Linked DNA regions of Rattus norvegicus. The protein of the gene in region 1 purifies or fractionates together with the protein of each later gene. This does not show direct contact. Links are inferred from orthologs where the notes say so. Each region holds a gene or a part of one and is shown on either strand. Other genes may lie near its edges. The genes, in order: Cdc26, Anapc2, Anapc16, Anapc1, Anapc7 and Anapc13.

Region 1 (4,105 bases):
GGGAGGAGGCAGAAGCAGTGTGAGGTCACAGGCAAGAGTGTAGTGGAAAGATGAGAATGTGGTTCAGTGGCAGAACAGTTGCCTAGCATGCAAAAAACCCTGGGTTGGATTCCTAGCACTGTTAAAAAAGGGGGGGAGGGGGTGTGTGATTTTCAACTTGCATCTTACCAGACGTTATATTAATATTTCCTGCTTCAATGCCGGCTTTGAGTCCTTCTTTTCCCAAAATCCCAGACTCTCCTTTGGCCAGGCGTTCCCGCTCTTTCTCTTCCAAGCTTCCATAATAGATGTGTGGTTTCTTCACAACAGGAGCAACTAAATCGTCAGGTGCTTTAGTTTTGGTTGTCTGTTAAATCAAAGACCCCGATTAAGGTTTGGTCCTAGCAAACCATGCTTTCCAAAAGAATGAAGGAAATGCTGAGCCTTCATTTTATTTCCTCTCACAACTAGGACAAAGTCGAAAGTGACTTTGCGCCGAGCTCACGCTCTCGTTAAATTTGGCACACAATTACAATTAAACAATTTCTGTCTGATATGTCTTGGTTTGTTTTGGGGCCTGTTACTTTAATCTATTCGAAATGCAATCTCCGATTTTACGAAAATAACTTCTCGCCACTGGACATACACCCAAAACAACCCAAACAATTCGGCGCACCAAGTCACAATGTTACTGGAATACACATTTCAAATACTTTCAGAGCCTATTAGAAGTTGGGAGGCCTCATAAGTACCAGTCGTACAGCTTACGTCAAGACACTGCCCGATTTCAAAGAACTGTGCTTTGGAGCAGTCAGAAAAAGTGTTGTTCACTGCTCAGGGCTTAAGTAAGAGCAGTGCAAAAAGAGCTGCAGTTTAGGCGTTTAGAAATCAGGAAAAGGCTGCTAAGGTCCACACCACGGTCCCCCAGCCTTCCTCCTCCTCCTCCTCTGCCCGGACCCGTAAGGTAACGGCCCTTTCCCACGGGGACCGCGTCCTCCCTAGGAGAGGATAAGCATGAACTTAGATGCGGAACTCCGTACCGTGGAGGAGGCTCGTGAGGAGGCCATGCCGGGCTCTGGAGCCGCGAGGCCCTAGCCAAATCCCGTTCTGCTTTTCAGACCGGGAACCGCGCGCCTAGCAAAGTGGAAGTGCGTCACTGGCCGGAAATGTACCAGTTCGTGCTCTAGGAGTCGCGAAGTATCTTGGGAGTGGTAGTTGCCAAGTGTCGGCTGTCATCGATGGGCGTGGCCTTATAGAGCGGCACAACCTCTCGGGAGAAGAGGCGCGTGGGAAAAAAAGGCGCAGAGCAACTTGGGAAGTGTAGTTCGGGCTGCGTAGCAATGGAGTCAAGGTGGGAGTTGAGGTTCTGGGAAGCTTCAGAGGCCTGAAAAGAGGTAAGTTTGCGAATCGCAAGTCTAATCTGGAACAAACCAAGGGTCTCTGCTCTCCTTCGGGAGGCCTTCCGTCATTTTGAAACCGAGGCCTGTGCTGCCATTGAAATCTCTCCCTAGACTTCTGCAGCATTGGAGCTGGGAAAGAGGACTGTTGTTCACGACGGAAGTTCTCCGGGGGCCCCTGGTAACTGGGTGGCTACGAAGTGATTTTGTGCTTTAAGAAGACATTAAACTCGAAGAGCCTTCTAAGGCTAAAATAGAGATGTGGTGGAGGAGCTGCGGCCTAGTTTGTTGTTGTTTTACTTGTCTACAGCCTGTTCTTTTTATATGTTCTTTGAAATAAAGGGTCCAGGGAGGCGCCAGATAAAGTGTATACCAGCAGCTGCAGTTGCAATGATTGCTAGGCCGTCAGAGATATTTTTTTTTTAAACCCTTACATGAAAGTTGCGGGGATTGCAAAATATTCGCGTTTGCTGAGCTGAACAGACTCATTCTCACTCTTAAGCCTCTTTCTTCCCCGAACAACTCCAGTTAGAAGAGCACTTCCACTTCGAGGGCTTACTAAATGCCACGTTACGCGCAAGGAGCTTATTCTATCTTAGTTATTTAAGTCGCGGGACAACAAGAGTAAAGATCAGAAAATAAATTCTGGTGAGAAAAGGTAATCCGTCGTTCTGGAGCCACAGTGTAGTAGGGTTAGTAATGTGGCGGGTGGACTGCCGCGCTTTTAACCCGTACTCACTGTTGCTCTCTAGTGGTGAGGCTTTCAGTTCATACCCAAGTAGGAAATTATTTTTCTTAAGTATTTCTTCCCTTTCTCTTTGGAGCTGGCTTCCATTTCTCTACTTAGGGATCTGGTAGAAGGTAGTATCTGATAGAATAAAGCAGTTTGAATTGTCACAGGCCAGTGTTTTGTGTTGACCATATGGCCCCTTGAGATGTGATATAATGTGACACTCCTGAGAGAAGTGTAAGAAGTGTAAATGTTTCGTATACATCGTAGTCTTTTGTTTCATTCTGCTAGCATGCAATAATAATTTATATGGATGCACACTATATCGGAACTTTTTTTTTGCGGAACTTTCACGAAGATCATTATCACAACTTTTTATTCTAGTGGTCTATGAGTAACTTTTATAGGAGGCTATTTTGTTTTTTTTTTGGAAGACAGGGTTTCTCTGTGTAGCCCTGGATGCCCTGGAACATGTTCTGTAGACCAGGCTGACCTCAAACTTACAGAGATCTGCTTGCCTCTGCCTTCAGAGTGCTGGGATTAAAGGTGTGTGCCACCACCACCCGGCTTCTGAATTTGTTAATTAAACTGTTTGCTTCAACTTTATAAAACTGGAATAATTTTTCAAGCTTCCCAAGGCTTCTGTATTAAAGTAATATAAAGAATGGGAATGTGGGTTGGTTCAGTCGTAAAGGAGCCCATGCTAAGTGTGGTGTCCTACATAGTAGATGGAGAGAACCAACTCCCAGACATTGTCCTCTGACCTCTGCCTGTGGGCTATGTGCTTTCACCAGCACCCAACAAATAAATAGAACAAACTTTTTTTTAAGAGGCAAAAACTTTTGAGTTATCAAAGTGAGAAGAAAAACCAATAATGGGAGAGTCTAGAATTTAAGAAAAGTTAGTTTCACTTTCTCTATTTTTTATGGCTCAGTTTACTTTGTTGTGGATGCTGTGGAGGACATAGAGACAATACCTTCAACAGATACTAAAGTCAGCTTAGGTTTTCTTTTTTTCTTTTTCTTTTTTTCGGAGCTGGGGACCGAACCCAGGGCCTTGCGCTTGCTAGGCAAGTGCTCTACCACTGAGCTAAATCCCCAACCCCTTAGGTTTTCTTCTTAACTTTTGATTGATTCTTTGTGAACATCACATCATCCACCCCAGTCCCACTCATCTCCCTGTCCCTTTGCATCTGCCCTTGCAACCTCCCCCCTACAATAAGAAAATAAGATAGAATAAACAAAAATTTGTCATGGACTCTGTAGCACATCATGGTGTATCATGGAGTATACCCGTTTGTCCACACACCTAAACTTATAAATGCTCATTCAGTGCAATGAGTCATGGGCCTGTTTTAGGGCCTCTGGCTTTTGCTACACTATACTGGAACCTCACTAGGACTCCTCTCAGATATGTTGTTGCCCTGTGTCATGGAGATGTGACCCTGCAGCTTGTGCAGATCATAGATGGGGTAGATGCTGGGGTGGGCCAACTCAGAGCCCTGGATTTGGTCCTGGGAGGTAGCTGAGTTGATCAGCCTGCCACCTGTATCTGCACCATCCGGGTGAACTCTCCAACACTGCTCCAGCTAGTTTACCCAGTGCCACAGCTGGCAAGGGGGAGTGTCAGCTCTCCTGTTCTCAGGTCTTCAGGGACTACCTCATCCACGCCTTTCACCGGGGCTAGCTCTACTGCTGCCCAGGTGAGTTGCAGGGCCCACTCTACCGGGTGCTGCCAGCTCAAGTGTTTGTTCTGAAACAAACATGGGCTTTGTTAACACAAACCTTCATTCTCCATATGAACTTCTCTGACCTTAAGTCTGTCTGCCTACCCTTCAAATTCACTAAGACACCTTTTCCCATAGGGAATTGAGATCCCTAGCCACTCTTAGGCAGCCCACCCTCGGCTAGATGCTCATGCAGTGCTGTTGAAGGACCCTCCTTAGAGTTCTGTTTTTGCCCTAGATTGGCATGGTCTGTTGTGTTGTGTTTTCCCCACA
Region 2 (4,135 bases), on another chromosome or scaffold:
TTTTAAGATTAAAATCTTGGGGTTGGGGATTTAGCTCAGTGGTAGAGCGCTTGCCTAGGAAGCGCAAGGCCCTGGGTTCGGTCCCCAGCTCCGAAAAAAAGAACCAAAAAAAAAAAAAAAGATTAAAATCTTTATGCATGTGAGTATTTGTTTGCAGGGACTGTTTGCTGCCCAGATGTATAGGCTCCATGTGGATGCCTGGTACCAGTGGAGGGCAGAAGAGGGTTCTTGATCTCCTGGAACTGGAGCTACAGATGGCTATGAGCTGCCACACGGGTGCTGACAACAACCTGAGTATTCTGTCAGAGCAACAAGCCATCTTAACTGATGAGACATCTCTACAACCTGACACTATATTTTCCTACATGTTATACTTAAGTCCACTCTGCTCAGCTTATCACCCTGCCAACAGCAGCAGGTAAGGCAAAGAAAATGACTGGGAAAGGTAGGTCCTGCAAAGTAAGAAGCAGGACCAACCTCGGATGATGCTGAAAAGCTCCTCAATACGTAGGCTGGCATAGATTCGGTAGAAGAATCTCTGTACGTGACAGCGCCAACGACGCAGTGTGTTCCCAGCTTCTGGAGAAGTTGGTCTGCTGGGGTTGTCCTGAAGGAACACTTTGCCAAGCCAACCAACCACTCTCTCGATCCACTGTGAAAGATCATTAGTATGAGGTGTAATAACATTTAAAAGCTCCATTCTGACTCAGCAACCACACAGCTTCGGCAGGATGCTAGTGGAGCCCCGACCTGTGCATGGAGGCCAGAAGTATCAGATCTACACTCCACTGCCCAGGGTTCAATGCAGCTGCCCCAGGAGTTCCCAGGTTCATGACTCTACACGGCTAACACTGCGGGGACACCCACTTTGATCATTCCCTACCATGGCTAATATGCATCTGCAGCAGACAGACACTCAAAGAGTGGGAGGTATGGACTGAAGCAGAAACAAGGTGCACGACTGCATGGAGCTCAACCTGGCTTCTTCACAATGCTGGGAACCCCACAGAAGAATTACAAACCATACCTCAAGAGTATGGACAACCAGAGGCATTCACTGAGGACAGCCTAGCTCCAGACTGGTTATAGGTTAATCCTGAAGGGAACTGTTAAGTCAACATATGTTTTATAGGACAGTGGAAAGAAAAGGGTCTGGTAGACCTGTCTTGCCACACCTGCCTGAGGAAACTCCTTGAAGCCACCTCTGGCCCAGGATTTAAAGGTTTTATTTTAAATGCACAGACCTATTTGGTACATACCAGATTTGTCCTTGTCACCAGGGTCCAAGATTGGCCTCTATACGGCAGCAAGATAATCTCAACCATCACCACTCCACTGTTTGCTATTAGGTCTACCCCAACCCCATCGTTGCCCTTAACAGGAAACAGACCAAGGAGGAGATTCTCACCTTGTGGAACTCACGCAAGAAAGAGCGCTCATACTCTCCTCGGCAGCGGTCTTCCATCCTTTCCCGGGTCACCTGATGCAGGGTGGTGGTCACGGCCTCAGCGCTAACCCGCTCCAGCAGACTGAGCCTATGCCTGGAGGAGATCCCCGCTTATGGAGAACCCACAACACATGTGTCCTTTACCCGAAGGGGTCTTCCCAGAAAGACACTGTACACACACCCTAGGCCTATGTCCAGGACAGCATACACTTGATACACAATAATCCCTGGTCACAAGTATAGGCGAAAAAGACCTCGCCATCCAGTTTATTAGCTCTATTCAGAGATCTTTTTAAAGAAACTGAGGCATGGCCAGGAAGCAGTACTTACAGGACCTGGCTGAGCTGGTTGAACTGCTCCAGGGCCTGCCGGCACCAGCACTGCTGCTTGTCACTGCCACATCCTGCACACAGAGGGCTCTGCAAAAGTCGGTAGTACCTGCGGCGGGCATACCGGCTGTCCAGCTCTCCCTCTAGTTCTGGATCTGTGCCCCCTTCTCCTTTTCTCTTGCTCTGCATATAGACTCTCAGGAAACGACCATAGAGGCGCTGGACCATCTCCTGGAATGTCCTAGGGGTGGAAAAAAACAGGACTCCCCGCAACATAGTGTGAACTTTCTCCCGAAGACCCTGAGCTCCAGCGCCCATCAGCAAGCCCAGACGAGTCCATTTCTCTAGGAGTTCTAGGCTATGCAGATAGGGATCCAAGCGGCTTTCCAGCAGACCGAACGCATCCAGGAGCAGCACAAGGCATTGGGGTTCATCGACAGAGTTTTCGCGAAGGGAGATGGCATTCCAGAACTCCGTGGCAATGTTGCCTTGAAGGTCATTCTGCAGCACTTCCACGAACCACTCCTCCAGGACAGAGTGCAGACCGTGGGCCCTCAGAACTTCTACCGCTGCACGAAGCTCTTCCTCCTTTGGTGGAACTGCACCGCTGGTCCGGGAAGATGCCTGGAGCACGGAAAACCGTGAGCAGAGGGGCGGAACAGGGGTAAAAGGAGAGGAGGGGTGTGGAAAAAAACAGCAGCCGAAGGGCTGCCAGGAAACCAAACAAATCAGATAGCTGAGGAAGGAGGCAAGCCCACTACGGGCAGAGCACGGGAGCTATGAGGACCCAAGGATGGACTCCCTAAAGGACAAAGTCGTGGCAACTCTGCACAGGCCCGCCAACCTTTCCCCGGCCTCACCAGCCCCAGCGCAGCCGGCGGCACCAGACCGGTGCTCACAGTATTCCAGGCAACCACGAGCTCCTGTCCAGGCCTAGAGTCGCAGTCATCCGTGGCGACAATTGTCGTTGTCGCCGCCGCCGCCGCCGCCACCGATACCGCCACACCCTCGGCCTCCATCACTGTCCACAAAACAGACCCGCCCAGCGTAGCGCACGGTGATGACGCAAGCGCGGGCTGTGGCGCAGTCGTGACGTTCGCTTGCTCGCGCGCGCTGTGTAGGCAGTGCGCAGGCGCGGGCTTGGCGGTGCAGGCGGCGGTTGAGGCTTACGGACGCGGTGCCGACCATGACCCAACAGGGCGCGGCGCTGCAGAACTACAACAACGAGTTGGTCAAGTGTGAGCGTCGGGCGCTGAAGGCCGCGGGGCCGGGGGCCGGCCAACCCACACACTCGGGAGGCTGCGTCGACATGCCTCACGAGCTCCGCTCTGCGGCCTCCCCTCTGTCGTGCTGGTCGGGGTCCGAAGTTCACGAGCCCCAACCTACAGCTCTGTCTTCCCGCCCACCCTAGGCATCGAAGAGTTGTGTCAGAAACGAGAGGAGCTGTGCCGGCAGATCCAGCAGGAGGAGGACGAAAAGCAGCGGCTACAGAATGAGGTGAGGCAGCTCACGGAGAAATTGGCCCGCGTCAACGAGAACCTGGCGCGCAAGATCGCCTCTCGCAACGAGTTTGACCGGACCATTGCGGAGACAGAGGCCGCCTACCTCAAGGTGGGGCTCTCAGATATGCGTTGTCAGTGCCTCACTACCATCTGAGGCTAGGTAGGGCCCATTGTGGTTCAGAGGCTGTAGGCCGGACAGTGGGCTGTTTGTGGGATCCAAGAGAGTGAGCAGTGGTGTGCTGGACAGAGTACCATAGTGGTGGGTGAACTAACTCAGCCTGGCTTTGCAGGGTGGAAGAGCTCTGGGACAGGTGCAGGAGGGAGGATAATTTTATTGCCCCCACCATCCTCCATAACCCGTTGACTCAGCACAGATGGCCAGACTGAGATTCCCATCCTCCACTATCAGAGGCTGAGGCAGTGGGAATCTTCTTACCAGAGAAATAACATCCTTCTATTTCTCTGGCCCCAGATCCTGGAGAGCTCTCAGACTCTGCTTAGTGTACTCAAAAGAGAAGCTGGGAACCTGACTAAAGCCACGGCTTCAGACCAGAAGAGTAGTGGAGGCAAAGACAGCTGACAAGCCCTGTCTCAGCCGTGGCCTATGGCTGCTCCCCAACATGTCTGTCCTAAAGCATCTTTGTTCTCCATGGCCTCAGATGTCTTTTATCTCTGGTGCCCTGAGTGTCAATTTCTGACCTCCACCTGCCTTGAGTGACAAGACAAGCCCCAGGACAGTCCAATGGAAGATGTGTTCCCAGCTCCGCACTCACATGTGTTATTGGAACCTTGAGCTCCTGGTCAGCTCCATGAGGAGCCTCTTTCTGAAGCTCCTGTATCTCCTTGGGCTGCCAGGA
Region 3 (3,500 bases), on another chromosome or scaffold:
TTTAGCTTCTTTTGTTTCTTTCCTTTCCTTTCCTTTCTTTTCCCTCCCCCACCCCCCGTCTGTCTCTCTCTGTCTCTGTCTCTCTCTTTTTAAGAAAGAGGGTCTCACTGTACACCCCTAGTTGGCCTGGAACTCACTATGAAGAAGAACTTAGAGACATCTGCCTGGCAAGACATATTTAAGTTCAGTGTCTCACATGAGTCTTATGCTTCTACCATGAATCACCAGTTTACCTAACATGAATCCGATACGTTCCAGTCACTAACACCATTTCATGGCTGCTGCCCGTGACCTATTTCTGGCCAGCCAGTCTGTGTGCTAAGACGGTGGCTGCAAATCTATCTCCAGTGCTATAAACCATGCGGTCATACAGCCATGTCTGGCAGTGGCCCATGAGAGTCACCTTCACAGAGGTAAATACATTAACTCTTATTTCCCCTTCAGGCCTCTCTGGTGGGGTAGATACTCACTAAAAAGAAGATACATCAACAGGCGTTACAAGACCACCTGGAGCAGGAGATCAAGAGGGTCCAGAGCCAGTGGCAACCCTGGTCAGGTTACTCAAGGGCCCCCAGCCCCAGCTCCTTTACATTTTACATGCATTGAAGGTCTGAAGCCAATTATTCAGCAAACACAGCATGAGATCACCTTCTAGTATCTCTCCAGCTCCTTTCGGGTAGGTGAACAGAGCTTTCCGTGGTGGGGCAAGGTCGGACACACTGAAACCAGATCCAGGGACAGAACTTCCACTGACCCCACCAGCTGAAGATGAGGATGAGGAGGCGGCCATTCCCTCCAGTAGAAGTCTCTCTTCACTAGAGGAAAAAAACAGCAATTGGCAAGTTTATAAAGCCAGATGGACGACACTTCATTCTGGCCCAGTAGGACCAGCTTTCCCTGTCCTCCATCCTTATATAGTCTTTTATAATGTCACGCAGGTTTTCAAGTAAATCATGTTTAAGAAGAGCTTGAATGTGGGGTTGGGGGATTTAGCTCAGTGGTAGAGCGCTTGCCTAGGAAGCGCAAGGCCCTGGGTTCGGTCCCCAGCTCCGAAAAAAAGAACCAAAAAAAAAAAAAAAAAAAAAAAAAAAAAAAAAAAAAAAGAAGAGCTTGAATGGGTATGGTGGGACACACCTTTAATCCCAGGAGCTAGAAACAGGCCGATACGTGAGAACTGGAAGCCAGCCTGGTCTACCTAATGAGTTCCAGGACAGCTAGGGATACACAGAGAAACCCTGTCTTGAAAAACCAAAAACCAAAACCAAAAGAAATCTTGCCTAGTTAGAGAGCCCTATTTTCTCCCATTAACCCATTAACGAATTATGCCACTTGGGATTGAATGTGGATAATTCCTGAGTTATGAAGGGAGATATGGCAGGGCCAAGGCAAAAATGGGACCACAGATAAAATACTACTACTCCACAGGACAGTTTGTCTTGGATACACTCCTCACCAAGCCAAGCCACACCACCAAGTTCGCTTATCAGGTTTTCCAAGTAGGAGTCCAGAATAACACTGTGTTCTGTTCCCAAGGAAGGGAAATCAGTGAGGAAATTCATATTGGCACGTTCATTAAGAACTCATTAATCTTTTCATCTAAATGTCATACCTAAATCCAACACTTGGTGGCGCCCCAAAGCTGGAACAAAAATAATTCAGGATCAAATCTCAGAAACAATGGTCCTTCATGAACTGAGCATCTGTGGGCTTAATTCTGCATCCCATCTGAAAACCCGGACCCCAGTACTGAACACATGTCTCACAAAACTCAGAACAAGAACACAGCCTCAGAAGCCTATGAAGACTCTACAGTATATATTTTAAGACTGGTTAGTACCATGTTTATGCCACTTAGAACCTGCACCTTGGAAATTCTCTGATATTCTAGTTCTGCCCAATTTGGTAGCCATCAGTTTCATGTTGTGTCTAATAATGTAACTGAAAAGCTATTTATGTCCATTTAAAAATACTAGATAAAATTTCAATAATGGGGCTAGTGGTTTCTCACTGGGTCAGAATTCTAGTATTTAACTGAACAAATGACTTTACACAGGAGTAGTGGTGTGTACTGGGACATTTTAGTTACACAGGAGGCTGAGGCAAGGGATTTTGTAACCTGGAAACATAGCCGAGAGCCTGTTCCAATAACAATGGACAATGGCTAATCTTGATATTATACAGATTTCAGCATTGAAAAAAAAGACTTTATTTATTTATAGAGAAGGTCTTAATTTGCTAGCCTGGAACTTACTATCTATCCTGACCTGGTCTGAGCGATATTCAAGGCAACCCCACTGTGTCACCTTCCCAAGTGCTGGGATTATGGTCATGTGCCACCACGGCTGGCTTTGAATCAATCTTTAAAATGAATTTTCCAGGGCTGTGGATATTGTTTACTTAGGAGTATCTGCCTAGTATAGAGGAAGCTTAGTTCCAGCGCCACATAAACAAGGCATGGTGGCCCAGAAGTAAGATTCTTGTACCTGGGAGGCAGAGGTGGAAGAACCAGAAGTTGGAGGTCATCTTTGATTATAGCAATTTCAAGGCCAGGCTGGGATACATAAGATCCCTCAATTGGACAAAACAAAATGCAAAAAAAAAAAAAAAAAAAAAAAAAACAAAACAAAAAAAAAAAAACAAAATGCAAAAAAAAAAAGAAAAAAGAAAACAAACAAAAAACAAAAAACCAAACAAACCCAACAACAACAAAAAAACCAAACTAATAAAAGCACAACTCCCTCTGTTATGGTCAAGGGGAATTGTGCTGAGTCGTTTTTACTCATTTCCCCCTTAGTTCTGACATACTTGCTAGGAAAAGTTGAAGGCTGGGTTATGACTCAGTGGGGGGAGCACAAGCTATAAACATTTCATGCTCTAGTTTCAATCCCCAACACTTTTTAAACAGAAAACTGAAACACTTTTTAAACAGAAAAATACTAGAGAATACTACGTTCCTGTAAATCCTTTATGTCCAGACCATCTCGTTTCCTTCTAAGGAAAGTGGTACACGCAACCTGAGATGGTGGCTGCTGGCCCAGAACTATGTGGCAGTGACATGTGGCTGTCAGAGAGGCAGAGCCTGGTTTCTAGTTGCATCATATGGCCGTCGTAGGTTGCATTAATGAACACTGACATGGGCTAATAGTAAAACTGCTGCTGTGAGACTAGCAGCCTGTTATGAATAAATGCAAACTCATTAACTAGCTCTTTTCCTTTCAACTTTTTTTTTTTTTTTAAATGGGGTCTCACTGCTTAGCTCTGGCTGTTCTGGAACTTGCTATGCAGTTCAGGCTGGCCTCACACTCACAGGGACCCATGGGCCTCTCAGTGATGGTATAAAAGACTCTGCCTGCAAGCCCAGCCGCACTGACAATACTCTCAATTTTGTCCTTACATTACTTTCAGAATTTACTTGTTCAGGGAAAGTAACCGTTTCTGTGGAATTTATAACTTCTCTTTTGTGGTACATCAGTTTGAAATATAGCCTAGTAAACTTTTAA
Region 4 (4,225 bases), on another chromosome or scaffold:
CTATCAGGGGATTCTCGAGATAACATAAGAGAGGTAGGAGAGATGGTTCAGTGGTTAAGAGCACTAGCTGCTCTTCTAGAAGACTGGGGTTTGATTCTCAGCACCTACACAACTGTCTGTAACTTCAGTTCCAAGAGATCCGACGCCCTCTTCTGGCCCATATGGGCACTGCACACACATGGTGCAGCCATACAAGCAGTTTAAAAACTGACTCAAAATTCCTCTATAGTGTTTTATTTTATACTTCTAGGTCCCTAGTATTGCTCTGCCAATAACACAGGCACACAAAAAGTATATCTTACATATAGAGCATAAGATAAAATCCATGCTTGAAGGGAAACTAAAAGTATGTATTAAGTGTATGTAGAAGGCAGAAAACAGACAGAGGTGCACATGGGACTCTATGGGGGACTTGATGCAGTGTGGACTTCCCTGCTTCACAGCTGCAAACACAGTCGTCCTCTTTCCCTTGTCCCACACATAAGATGAATGGAAGCTAGAAAGTTTCTGATTTCTACCTATGTACACACCAAGAGATTTGATTTCAAAGGCATGTGAAGATGAGGTGCAGCAGCAGAAGAGAGGAACAGCTTGGTGGAAGAGTGTTTCTCTCTCAAGGCAACAAGGCCATGACATTGGTTTGGCCCCAGCATGAGTCCTCCACACCCACTTCCACCCCCAAAAAATCAGGAGCTGGGTGAGGGATGATACATAGGAACTACTTTGTTCTAGTGTCATTTTTCTGACGTACTTTTGCATCTCATCTCCATAATTAAGAGATTTGCCAGGCATTGTGGCACACACATCTAATTCCAATATTCTGAAGACTGAGAGAGAGGGTCAAAATTCCAGGGCCAACCTGGGCTACTCAGTGAGGCTCCAACTCAAAAAAAAAAAAAAAAAAAAAAAAAGGTACTGCTACTCTAACACTCTTATGTGACATCAACCCTCTTCTAGAAACGTGTGTTGCAGGTACCATTTCGAATCTCTAGCATTTAGTCACCAAAGAGTATAAAACCTGATTATCCACATATGAAGTGAAGATAGTTTAAAGTGAGCCATGATTGAAGTAATCAACTCTCTTTACAAGTTACACAGCATGCCTAAGTAGGCAGCACCGTGTTTCAGCACTGACTGAAATTACCAAACACTAGCTTTTAACCAAGTGCCAACACACGCGTATTTCTCACATGCATACAGGAAGCTTTACACTCATTCATTCCGTGTTTCAAATGTATGATGAGAATCTTAATAAAACCTTCTGTTTCTCATGGATCGTAACCTCCTGAAGAGATCCCACCAAGCCAGCTGCACCATCGGAAGACCATAACTCAGAAGCTGGCTGCAGCTGACGAAGCTGAAGGTTCAGAGCATTAGGGTGGTGCTTGCAGTGGTCTCGACCAAAAGGAACGAATTCCTGCAGATCCCCGGCTGCAATCATCGTTGCCCTTTCTTCAGAGAAGTTCGACATGGGTTCCAAATATCAACATTATTTCTGTGTGAAATCAAACACATCCTTGTCAGCCTTCTAATCAAAACTAACTTATCACTACAAAGGCCCGGATGGAGCTATGTCAGAAACATGCTGGTCTACCTCGCAGACATTTCAACACACTGGATGTAAAGATAGCTAACATTCTAACATTCTGTGGCATAGTTTGTGCAAGTTTTGTCTTTGAGAAAACGTCTACAACAGCATTTGATAGCAACACTACAACCAACTGTTAGTGTTTGGAAAGGAAGGTAAGATTAACAACTGCTAACTAAACTTGACTTGAAGCTCTCACCTGAAGCTTTTAGACATCTTTTTTCTTTTTTTTTTTACAATCACCTGAAAGCCTCTAGTTTATACGAAGCCCTCTATTGCTACAAAGTCTTCCTTGCTGTGACGTAAATGTTATCACTGATATGATTACCTCACCTCCTAGAAATAAAATCAATATTGAGAACAGAACTTAACTGAACCACATATGCCTTATACAAAGTAGGAAAAAAATTCCAAGGTGTGGCTGGCCTTTCCAAATTCTATTCAACAAAGCAGGTAACATTAAAGAACTTGCAACTCTGCCGGACTTTTCCTTGTGCAAACATGTAATGTCATCCCCTTGTAGCTTAAAACAAACCTACAGGATTGCTTTTTACAGCATCATTTTCACAGTTCGACGTCTTTTAGCCCAAAGGCATCATACTTAATACTTTCACAGGTCTCCAAAAGTTGTTAAACTTGTTATTCGTTACAGGCCACATCAAAGCACGGAGTTGACATGCTAGAAGTAAAACTGTTATTACTGGTTACTAGATACATATGCAAACAGCGGGACCCTGAGTTGGGTCTACAAAAATAGGCTTTCCGTGCATTTGAGTAAACCGCGCTACAGGCGCAGCGGCCGGAGCATCTGGCTCAGTGCGCGGGTCGCGTCGGCCCAACCGGAAAAGCCCAGTCTGAGACTCGGGTTCCTCTCACCCCAGCACGCTCTCAAGGCCCGCCCCAGAGCGCTCAGCCGTTGGGTCACCCGGTGCATCGAAATTCCAACACCAAGTTGCAGTGATGCGCTACCCGGCCGGCCCGCACCTGAGTGACTCGGGACGCGTCAGGCGCTTGCGAGCCCCGGCTGCTCCCCGGAGGCACAGGGGCCCCGAAGGCCCGAGAGCAGCGGCAAGACGGTCACGATGGCTCCTCGTCGCCACAGTTTCTCATCCCTTTTCCCTCTCTGATGTCGGAGGAAGAATGGGCCGCAGCGTGATACCAAAAATTGGCGAAGAACTCAAATGAATGTATCCATCTTGGATTTCCCGACCTGCCTCGCGCCACCACAGAGCAAAGCGGGGACGCGCGGCAGCGGAGAGGACCTGGCGCCTGCGCAGTTGGAAAGGGTGTCTGTGCGAGTGCCTACGAAGGCAGTCATTTAACGACTTTACCTCTCTAACAAAATAAATCTCTGAGATCCTGAGCTATCTTCTCAATTTTAAGTTAAGTTAGGTAATTTTTTCCAGCTGGTTGAGTTTCCTCCTCATCTCAAAAGGGGATGTGTGCCTCCTCACTGAGGAATGGGAGCGCAAGGGAGGCCGCTCATTTTCTCAAGATTGCAAGGAAAACATTCTGCCCGGAAATCACACACCCCCACCACCCAAGATGGGCTTTAGTCCCTTAACTGCTCTTGGTCATAAAAAAATGGCGGGCCTCTCACTGCCTAAAGAATAGAGCTCCACTCTACTTCTCTGCCCCAAAGGCAGTTAGTTGGAATTTGATACCTTCATTTTAATTGTCGATTGTAACACACACCTTGATATTTTAGTTCATTCTTATTTCTTTTCTTGGAATGTCATCCTACAGAATTTGAGGCTGCACTCCAAAAGGAAGCTCATAGAACTTGGTGAGTGGAATGCCTGTTTAGCTAAAATTTTCTGCCTGGATATTCAAAAACGGTTAAATTAACACTCATATTCCACATGCTCTGCTCCGACCTCTTCATTCCTTCCCGCAAAACCTCACCATCCTGCAAAGGTCTTTCTATCACCAACAAGGCTATCTGGAAAAAACGAACAGAAAAGTGTTGCGGGTGTGTGTGTGTGTGTGTGTGTGTTTCTGACCTGAGACAAGGGGCTGAGGTGCGTATTTTACATATCAATGCAGGAACCCAACAAAGAGCACTCATCATTCTCCATCCTCTCTACCCCTTCCCCTTCACAGGCTGCCTATAACACCATCAACCACACCAGTAGTCACTTGGAATAGAAGGACACCCAACTCTCCACGATGCTCTGAGCAACCAAGCCACTATCATACTCGAGTCTGTGATATCTTCTGCTACTGCCAGCCTTGGATGAGGGATATGGGAGTTGGCTTCTGAAGAGGCCATACTTAGAAACCCAAAACGTTAGGGAGCAAACTGGTCAATGAATGAAAACAAGGACATGAGCACTCCTAGATATGGTTGAGGAGGTTTTTATCATAGATCTGAGGGAAAGAACAGCCAGAGACTGGAAGAGTCTGCACTGAATACTGAACACAGGCTGCAGAATAGACCAGGCCATGAGAGGATTGGGGAGGGAAGGGGGACAAGAGAGAAAAGAGAGAAGCACAAGCAAGCCAAAAGAGATCAAGAGCAGAGCCAGGAGGACTAAGAGAGAAGCTGGGAACCAAGCAACCTGTGGCCAAAATGGCTGGGTTATATAGGGAAAAAAGGTGGGGGAAGGGAAGCTAACTGTGGAGCTGGAGGGATTT
Region 5 (3,766 bases), on another chromosome or scaffold:
ACAGATGGTGGAGCAGTTCTGCCTGCACCTGCCTGAAGTGCTGTGTGTGTCACACCAGATGTGGCTTAGACCTGCTTAGGTTGGTTTACACCAGTTAACGTTACTTGGTAGCTGGTGAACTCATCTGGTTGGTTTAGTTTTGAACTCGTTTAGTGTGTTACAGCTGACTTTGGTCAGTTTGGTTCTGAGCTATCTGGATTCTCTTGTTCTTTTTGCTTCTGGCATATTCCTAAGTTTATTTGATGCTATCAAGAGGGTATTTTGGTTCAGGGTTCTAGTTCAGGGCCATTGGCCTCATCTGGTGCTGGCCTGGTCTGCAGAGGAGTTCCAGGACAGCTCGTCTGCAAAAAAAAAAAAAAAAAGTTTTTTTTAAAGATTCAGGGCACAGACTCAGTGGCTTGGGTAAAGAGGCCACCAAGACTGACGACCTCAGTTCAGTCCTCAGGACCTGCGTGATAGATAGATTGTCCTCTGACCTCCTCTCATGTGCTGTGTGTGCTTGCCCACACCACTGTATAAATAAGTTCATGGATGCATGGTTTTTAAAGACACAGTACTCATGTCATTTCCCAATGAACTAGAGACCACATGCCCCTCACCCCTGCAGCGCCCCTTTGAGGGGGTCTCTGAGAAAGTTGTCGTGTCATAGTGGGTGTGACTGTGCACTAGCTGAGCAGTAAAGGTTGTCTTTCTCTGCAGGCAGGGAGCAGAAGTACGAAGATGGAATTGCTCTGCTGAGAAATGCACTGGCCAACCAGAGCGACTGCGTCCTGCACCGCATCCTGGGGGACTTCCTGGTGTCTGTGAATGAGTACCAGGAAGCAATGGACCAGTATAGCATAGCACTGAGGTAGGTGCCCGGCCTCCATGGGGAGGAGAGGAAAGGAAGCAGGGCCCAGGCAGCTCTGCAGACAGCTGTGCCCAAGGTGAAGGCAGGCTAAGAATAGCAATGAGAGAAGGTATTTGCAAATTCATGACTCCTGACATATTTTCCTAAAGCATATTAGAAGAATTAGAGATGATCATCCTTCTCCAGCCCACATAAGAGTAACACCCAGACTGATCTGTGCGGCTCTCCTGTGCTTGCCCACACCCCCATGACGTCATAGGCTTATGCCGAGTACATATTTTACATTCTGCTTTTTATGATCAGAGTTTGCTAAGTGTGTGCTTCTGGTTTTGTCTGCTCTAGTAATTAAAAACTTAAATTCCGAAGTTTGAGTACAGCTTCTACCTGTTATCTTGGTCAAATACTAACCAATTCCCTGTCTATACCTACCTCATTGGGCATTAACTAGGGGTATCAAGATAATAATTGCTACATAATCGTGCAGACCCAAGTTCGATTCCCAAAACACATGTAAAGGTTGAAGGAGAGAATTGACTCCAAGGTTGTCCTCTGACGTGTGCGCCATGGCTTTTACACAACGCACAGACAATGTGTGTGTGTACACACAATAATACATTTAATTTTTTAATGTAAATTTCTAGGACTTTTCTTTTAAAGCTTTCTTAGGAGCCAAATAAATGAGGCTCCTGGGCTCTGGGCTTCATGGTGTTGCTACTAGTGAAACTGTCTTAGTCCAGCCCCTAGCCTCAGGACTTATGATCTGTCCCAGAGTGTAGCATGGTTGACGGCGGTGGCTGCCTGCAGTCCACGGTATAAAGTCACATGGAAGAATAACCAGCCTGGGGCAGGCTACATGCAATCATCATGTACCCGAGGCTGCCCGGGTGTCCTGATCCTGTTTCCCTCCTGGATGTGCTGGGCTGTGTCCTGTGCCTGGCCTCAAGCACCAGGCCTTCTGCGAGCACCGCTGCTCTGTCTGGTCACTGCCCCCGACTGCCCTCACTGCCTCCCCTGCTCCCACTGCCTCCCCTGCCCCCACTGTCCCCACTGTCCTCCACTGTCCTCCACTGCCCCCACTGCCTCCACTGCCCCCACTGCCTCCCATTGCCTCCACTTCCCCCACTGCCTCCACTGCCTACAGGAGAGTTAAGGGCTTGGTATTTGAGGAGCTTTAAAAACTTTTTGGAGGAAAATTTGAAGTTAGAATTTTTAATTGCCATTTTAAAGTGAATTGTTTATTAATTTATTTTATGTGGATGGGTTTGCTTGCATGAATGTCTGTGGACCATGTATGTGCCTGGTGCCCAGAGAGGCCAGAGGAGGGTGTCAGATACTTGGGAACTGGGGTCACTGTTGGTCATGAGTCATATATGGGTGCTGGGAACTGAACCCAGCAACAGATGCACTTGACCACTGAGCCACCTCTCCGGCCCCTTCAAGTTAAAAGTTCTAAAACTCCGAATAATGTCCCTTTTCATCTCTGATGGACTCCCTGGGTCCAGCCATGGAAGCACAGTTGTTTGCAACGTCTCTGGCTTAGTCATATCTGCTGGGCCAGCTCAGTGACAGTCCCAAGAAGCAGGGCAGAGACTCAGGCCTGTCTTCTGTTTTGTTGTTCCTCAGTTTGGACCCCAATGACCAGAAGTCCCTGGAGGGCATGCAGAAGATGGAGAAGGAGGGGAGCCCCACAGACGCCACTCAGGAGGACGACGTGGACGACATGGAGGGCAGTGGGGAAGAAGGGGACCTGGAGGGTAGCGACAGTGAGGCAGCCCAGTGGGCTGACCAGGAGCAGTGGTTTGGCATGCAGTGAGGGCACAGCGGTGACCCTTGTGTCCCTAGAGTGGCAGGAGCTGTTGGACGTGTGCTCACAGCAGGCCTTTCTGCCTGTTTCCTCAAGTTGGCACTGATGTTTGTCCGTCTGCTTTGCTGTGGACTGAGCGAGTTCCGAGCCACAGACTCGCCATTCTGGATGGTTCGGCTGCACGAAATGGAAGATGCTTTTTCTCTTTATGAGCGGGTACATAGGACTGAGCCATCCTCTTAAGAGCACATGCCCCTGGGTGGCCCTGTCAGAGGTTCGGTCCCTGGGAGTCACATCCTGGTACGGCCACACTCCTGTAGTCATGGAGCTCTGGATGGGGGGGGGCGGGCTGTGCCTCACTGACTGCAGAGCAGGCTCGGCCTCAGTGGGCAGATCTGAGAAGCAGATGATGGGAGCATGGCCACCCCAGGGCAGGTTCAACTAATAAAACTGCCCAGTGTGGTGTCACATGTCACAGTGGACACCCTTTGAGACTCTTCCTTTTTCCTCCTTGTCAGAGGCAGCCATGCAGGCCTAGACAGTTTGACATACATATACTCCCTATTCTCCCATGTGCTGGGAGGCAGAGCCCTGAGCTTGTCACACAGAACCAGCCTGGCTCTTTCCTGAGTCCCTGAGGGCAGGGTCAGCCTTGATCATCTGCCTAGAGTCTCATTCAGCTACTGGGGATGGGTCGACTCCAGGTCCCTCCTGGGTGCCTTTCAAGATGCAGATCGGTGTGCTAGGAAGAAATGAGGTTTACTGTAAAGAATCCGTAGTCGATTTCAGAGCATCTGTCAGTGCAGTGAAGTGGGCCACGTAGTCTGGTGGAAACATTCCGGAAGCCTGCACTTGGGAGGCAGAGGCAGACAGTTCAAATGTGCTGGGCTGCACTGCAAGATTTGCATTAAGAGACATAAGTTAAGCGGACCAGGTCTCATAAAGTGTGTCAGTGAGCCTCAGCCTCCACACTAGCCGGCCCTGAGCAGTCTCAGGCTCCCTTTGAGCAAGCAGCATGTGGGTGGTGCTTTTCCTGACTCCACCCCGCCAGCAGCCCCACTCACCAGTCAGTGCTGAGAGAAGGCAAAATCTGTTCAGCCACAAATTGAACC
Region 6 (4,008 bases), on another chromosome or scaffold:
GAAATTTCACCAGTCTGGCTTAGACTTGGGGAGTTTGATGCCAGGAGGTTTATTTCTAACGGACTTAAACTGGTATGATTTGAAAAAGAGTTTCCTGGTATAACAATTTCTGGTGCACAAGAAAGTGTAATTACATTAAAACTGCACTTAGGGTCCACGACATTCCTTCCAAGAAGGCGGGTTCTAGAGATAGGTACTGGGGTCCAAGGAAGGTCTCAGTCATACAGCAAGAGAGTTCACCTGGGCTATCAGCGACCTTCGCCCTGGCTGTAGGAGCCTGATGTGGTCTGGCCCAACAGATCACTCAGATTACAGGACTGTTAATCACTTCCAATTCCCAGCTCTTTGGATAGAAGAACAGGTTTTACATCTTACCATTGGAAAAACAATCCTGCACGTTTAACATTTTCCCTGGATATTTGTGGGTGCAGGGATCTTTGTGCTGCGATCCCAACATCCAGCCTTCATCCTTCTTGAAAAAAAAAAAAAAAAACCCTGTTTATTTGTGTATGTACATGTGGAAGTCAAAGGACAACGTGGCGATTTTGGTTCTCTTCTTCCATCAAGTGGGTCCCAGAGATTGAACTCAGGTTGCCTGTAAGCCACTAGGCCGTCTTGTTGGCTTTCCTCAGTGTCTGTTCCAAAGGCTCAGGATGCTTGCTTAGGCCCCTGACCACAGACTGCTTCACATGTTTCTCCTCAAACTGTTGCAGTCTAACTCAAAAGACTGGTCGTCAAGCAGTGCTTTTTGGGTTTCTGGCTTCCAAGTTTGTTCCTTATCACAGACACAGCCTATTGTGCTTCTTGCCACAAAGTGGCAACCCAAGGAAAGGTCCTAAGGGTTAGCACCAGTAGCTCTCTCAGGAACTGCTGTTTCTGAGAGAAGGGAGACTCAAGCAAGAAACAAACTTTGCCATACGGCTATGTGCTTGTCTCCAATGGTGTAAAGGCAAAGCTAGCACTATCTACCGAGTCTGCAGGAGGGAAAGGGCTTTCACTTTAAAAAATTAAACAAGATGGGGCCCAGAAGGAGGTTCAGTGGACTGAAGTGCTTGCTGTGCAAACAAGGGACCTGACTTCAGATTGCTGGCACCCACGTAAAAAGCCTGGCACGATGGCACACACTTGTGTCCTCCGGGAGGCTGCCAGGCAGTCTAGTTGAATCAGAAAGTTCCAGGTTTAGTTTAAGATTCAAAGTAATAAAGGAAGACACAGACGTTGACCTCTGACCTCTACACTCATCTACGACTCCACCTGTAGGCAGAAACCACACCTTTTTTGTCTGCTCATGCACACAGACACACCACACACCCGCATACAAACACTGAAGCCAAAGGTGGTCAGCTCCTCCTGCTGAGTGAAAACCAGGTGATGGCTTAGCAGTTTTCCTCAGACTTAACCAGACCCTAGCTAGTGGATAATGCAAAGCTAGCTGAAGAGCCACTTCTAGTCACTCCTCTAGGGCTTGACAAGTTTCCTCCCCTTTCCTGTCAATCTTTTGTTTTTATAGCTGTGTCTTGGGCTACATTTCATTCTTTCCTGTACTGATTTTCCCAGTCCTATACAGACTGCATCCTTTTCTAAAGTGTTCTGACTTCCTTCCAGTTTTTTAGCAGGCTCTTTGTCCTTGAATGCTTTGTTGCTCACATTAAATGATCTATGAAACAAGTTAGGTCAGCTTTGTGATTGACTGGCAGAGTCCTACTGTCTCCAGTGGTAATGCGGTGATTCCCAATCTTTCAACAAGCTGGCCTCAATGTTTGTTTGTTTGTTTTTTAATTATTTATTATGTATATATCATACAGCTCTCTGCCTGCATGTATGCCTGCAGACCAGAAGAGGGCACCAGATCTCATTACAGATGGTTGTGAGCCACCATGTGGTTGCTGGGAATTGAACTCAGGACCTCTAGAAGAGTAGACAGTGTTTTTAACCCCTGAGCCATCTCTCTGAGCCTGGCCTCATGATTTTTTAACTCCCTGAGCCCGGCCTCAATGTTTTTTAACACGACCCTCTCCCACATGCCTACAAACCGGCTTGCTTTTTACCCACCCACTGTACTTCATCAGTTATGCTTGCTCGTCCTTCTAAACAACAGGAACCGCGGCAGGGCTTTGAAGTCTACATCTATTTTCCTGGGTCAGGTGATCGGGTGCTCCCCCTGGGAAAAGCAAGCACAGGCAATGCCCCAAACCCTTACGACACAGCATAACCTCTCTAGGTTTCTTAAACTTTTTGTACTCTTCTCTTACTATGCCCGGTCCTCCAGATAAATTCTCAGCTCTCAGATTGTCTTGATCTCTGAGCACAATATGTGACAACAGGAGTTTTTTTGTCCAGACATCTCTTTCTAGATATTAGATGCGTACGTCCTATGAGACATACTCACGTTTTATGTATTTTCACAATCACAGCTTTGTAAATGTATTTCTAAGCTAAAAGCACGGGGGCCGATACTAAAATTGGCCTTCGCAGGCCACCATCTTGGGTCACTAGACGCAGAACCACCCGCTGCAGCCGTTTCCGGTTCGAGTGCTGGAGCTACTACGTGCGGAAGTGCAAGGGGGAGGTCGAGCGTCGCCATGGGTGCTCCGTTCCACTCCGCACAGCGTGCAGTAAAGAAGTGGCTCTGAAGGTCGGTTGAGAGTACCGGCCTGCGCTTCTGGAAGCGCTGAACGACTCTGAAGTCGAGGGCGAACGCTTGGCTACTCTCAGAAACCCGGGCGGCGGGCGCGAAAAACCCTTACCCACAGAGCGCGCGTCGGCTTCCTCCGGGCCCCGCCCTTCTTCCGGGTCACGTGACGCACGGCGCTCTCATACCCCGTATGTAGGTGAGTCCATTCGCTGCTGTAGGGGGCGGGACGAACGTCGATTTATTGTGACGTGCGCGCGTTCCCGGTCAGAGGAACGGCGGGCAGGCCCCGGGGCGCGCTCTGCCGGGGGCGCGCTCCGTAACCGACCGCATGCCCCTAAGACGGGCGAGCTGCGGCTTGTTGTGCGTTTGCGGCCCTGGCCACCGTGGTGCCGCTAACCTTCTGGCCGCATGGCCCGGGGCCGCAGTTCGTTGCGGCCCACCTACCGCGGGGGCCTCCACTGCACGCCCACTGCTGTCCGGCCGCTGCGTCCCTGGGTTCCTCCGTCTCCTCCCTATGGGGCTCTGAGCTGACCGGCCAGGTGCTACGGCCAGCGGGAGGGCGGGTTGCTTCGCTCCCGGGGAGGAACCCTGCTGCTACGGGTGTAGGACCAGGCCTTAGCATTAGCCACTCAGCGTGAAGTCCGCAGGGTTCCCTCGTAATGTTCGTAGGAAAGGTGCGGGAACCCCTGATGCAGGCGAATTGCGGAACGCTTTCAAGTCGAGTGAAAGTTTTGAAAGAGCAGTTCGATAACAACGCTTTACGCGGAGACACTTGACCGTGAATGGATTGATTGGAAAGGGCTTTTGTACTTCACAGAATCGTGGGGTTACAGAGTTTTCATTTATAAACTGTACACTTATTGCTCAAAGCGATCCCCTTTCTCTCCAACTAGCACCGGCTCTCCTTTGTTGCTCTGGTCGACCAGGCTGGCCTCATTGTAGATGGACCTACCTCTGCCTGCTAGTTAAGGATCTGCACCACCTCGCCTGGCTTTTTGAGTTCTCTTTCTTGAGGCCAATTTAGAGTTTTAAAATGTATTACTTTATTAAAGCAGGGTAGGTGCTCTTTGTACAATTCTTCGAACATTTGCATTTATTTTGTATTTATATTTTGTAAGTCAAAGATCAATGGCTTTAATTATCTAACTATTTACACCTACTCTTAAAGGCTGTAGCTTAGTGATACGATGAAACGAATTATCTTCGTTTCATTCATGAATTATATTCATTCATTGGAATGCAGCGCCATTTTTAGGTAATTTTTGTCCCTGCTTCTTGTCTTTCACTGTGCCGTCCTCAGCGATCAGTTAAGGAGGTTGTCAAACTAAAATGGGTTAGAGATTTATAAACAGATGCATGTCCCTTTAGAATGT

The links.
Region 2: the proteins of Cdc26 (region 1) and Anapc2 purify together in Homo sapiens (co-immunoprecipitation; 7 studies listed by BioGRID and IntAct, with this or other methods). This does not show direct contact. The link is inferred for Rattus norvegicus from reciprocal best matches to the Homo sapiens genes CDC26 and ANAPC2.
Region 3: the proteins of Cdc26 (region 1) and Anapc16 purify together in Homo sapiens (co-immunoprecipitation; 5 studies listed by BioGRID and IntAct, with this or other methods). This does not show direct contact. The link is inferred for Rattus norvegicus from reciprocal best matches to the Homo sapiens genes CDC26 and ANAPC16.
Region 4: the proteins of Cdc26 (region 1) and Anapc1 purify together in Homo sapiens (co-immunoprecipitation; 6 studies listed by BioGRID and IntAct, with this or other methods). This does not show direct contact. The link is inferred for Rattus norvegicus from reciprocal best matches to the Homo sapiens genes CDC26 and ANAPC1.
Region 5: the proteins of Cdc26 (region 1) and Anapc7 purify together in Homo sapiens (affinity purification with mass spectrometry; 5 studies listed by BioGRID and IntAct, with this or other methods). This does not show direct contact. The link is inferred for Rattus norvegicus from reciprocal best matches to the Homo sapiens genes CDC26 and ANAPC7.
Region 6: the proteins of Cdc26 (region 1) and Anapc13 purify together in Homo sapiens (affinity purification with mass spectrometry; 4 studies listed by BioGRID and IntAct, counting the BioPlex papers as one, with this or other methods). This does not show direct contact. The link is inferred for Rattus norvegicus from reciprocal best matches to the Homo sapiens genes CDC26 and ANAPC13.

What each region holds. Positions count from the first base shown.
Region 1 is NC_086023.1:80,872,527-80,876,631, reverse strand, and holds the start of Cdc26 (anaphase-promoting complex subunit CDC26), read left to right. Parts: upstream 1-1,305; 5' UTR 1,306-1,373; intron 1,374-4,101; exon of another isoform or gene 4,102-4,105. Other genes in the region: Prpf4 (U4/U6 small nuclear ribonucleoprotein Prp4), read right to left, coding at 169-346, 1,020-1,046. UniProt on the Homo sapiens protein: Component of the anaphase promoting complex/cyclosome (APC/C), a cell cycle-regulated E3 ubiquitin ligase that controls progression through mitosis and the G1 phase of the cell cycle.
Region 2 is NC_086021.1:28,483,293-28,487,427, reverse strand, and holds the start of Anapc2 (anaphase-promoting complex subunit 2), read right to left. Parts: upstream 2,801-4,135; 5' UTR 2,796-2,800; coding exon 2,637-2,795; intron 2,401-2,636; coding exon 1,778-2,400; intron 1,542-1,777; coding exon 1,409-1,541; intron 653-1,408; coding exon 478-652; intron 1-477. Other genes in the region: microtubule nucleation factor SSNA1, read left to right, coding at 2,963-3,014, 3,188-3,387, 3,751-3,858. UniProt on the Homo sapiens protein: Together with the RING-H2 protein ANAPC11, constitutes the catalytic component of the anaphase promoting complex/cyclosome (APC/C), a cell cycle-regulated E3 ubiquitin ligase that controls progression through mitosis and the G1 phase of the cell cycle.
Region 3 is NC_086038.1:28,478,090-28,481,589, forward strand, and holds part of Anapc16 (anaphase-promoting complex subunit 16), read right to left. Parts: intron 816-3,500; coding exon 649-815; intron 1-648. UniProt on the Homo sapiens protein: Component of the anaphase promoting complex/cyclosome (APC/C), a cell cycle-regulated E3 ubiquitin ligase that controls progression through mitosis and the G1 phase of the cell cycle.
Region 4 is NC_086021.1:136,380,665-136,384,889, forward strand, and holds the start of Anapc1 (anaphase-promoting complex subunit 1), read right to left. Parts: upstream 2,801-4,225; 5' UTR 2,573-2,800; intron 2,484-2,572; exon of another isoform or gene 2,465-2,483; intron 2,435-2,464; exon of another isoform or gene 2,128-2,434; intron 1,496-2,127; 5' UTR 1,472-1,495; coding exon 1,259-1,471; intron 1-1,258. UniProt on the Homo sapiens protein: Component of the anaphase promoting complex/cyclosome (APC/C), a cell cycle-regulated E3 ubiquitin ligase that controls progression through mitosis and the G1 phase of the cell cycle.
Region 5 is NC_086030.1:39,793,849-39,797,614, reverse strand, and holds the end of Anapc7 (anaphase-promoting complex subunit 7), read left to right. Parts: intron 1-699; coding exon 700-850; intron 851-2,473; coding exon 2,474-2,663; 3' UTR 2,664-3,266; downstream 3,267-3,766. UniProt on the Homo sapiens protein: Component of the anaphase promoting complex/cyclosome (APC/C), a cell cycle-regulated E3 ubiquitin ligase that controls progression through mitosis and the G1 phase of the cell cycle.
Region 6 is NC_086026.1:112,083,197-112,087,204, reverse strand, and holds the start of Anapc13 (anaphase-promoting complex subunit 13), read right to left. Parts: upstream 2,801-4,008; 5' UTR 2,748-2,800; exon of another isoform or gene 2,559-2,747; intron 2,530-2,558; exon of another isoform or gene 2,390-2,529; intron 468-2,389; exon of another isoform or gene 376-467; intron 1-375. UniProt on the Homo sapiens protein: Component of the anaphase promoting complex/cyclosome (APC/C), a cell cycle-regulated E3 ubiquitin ligase that controls progression through mitosis and the G1 phase of the cell cycle.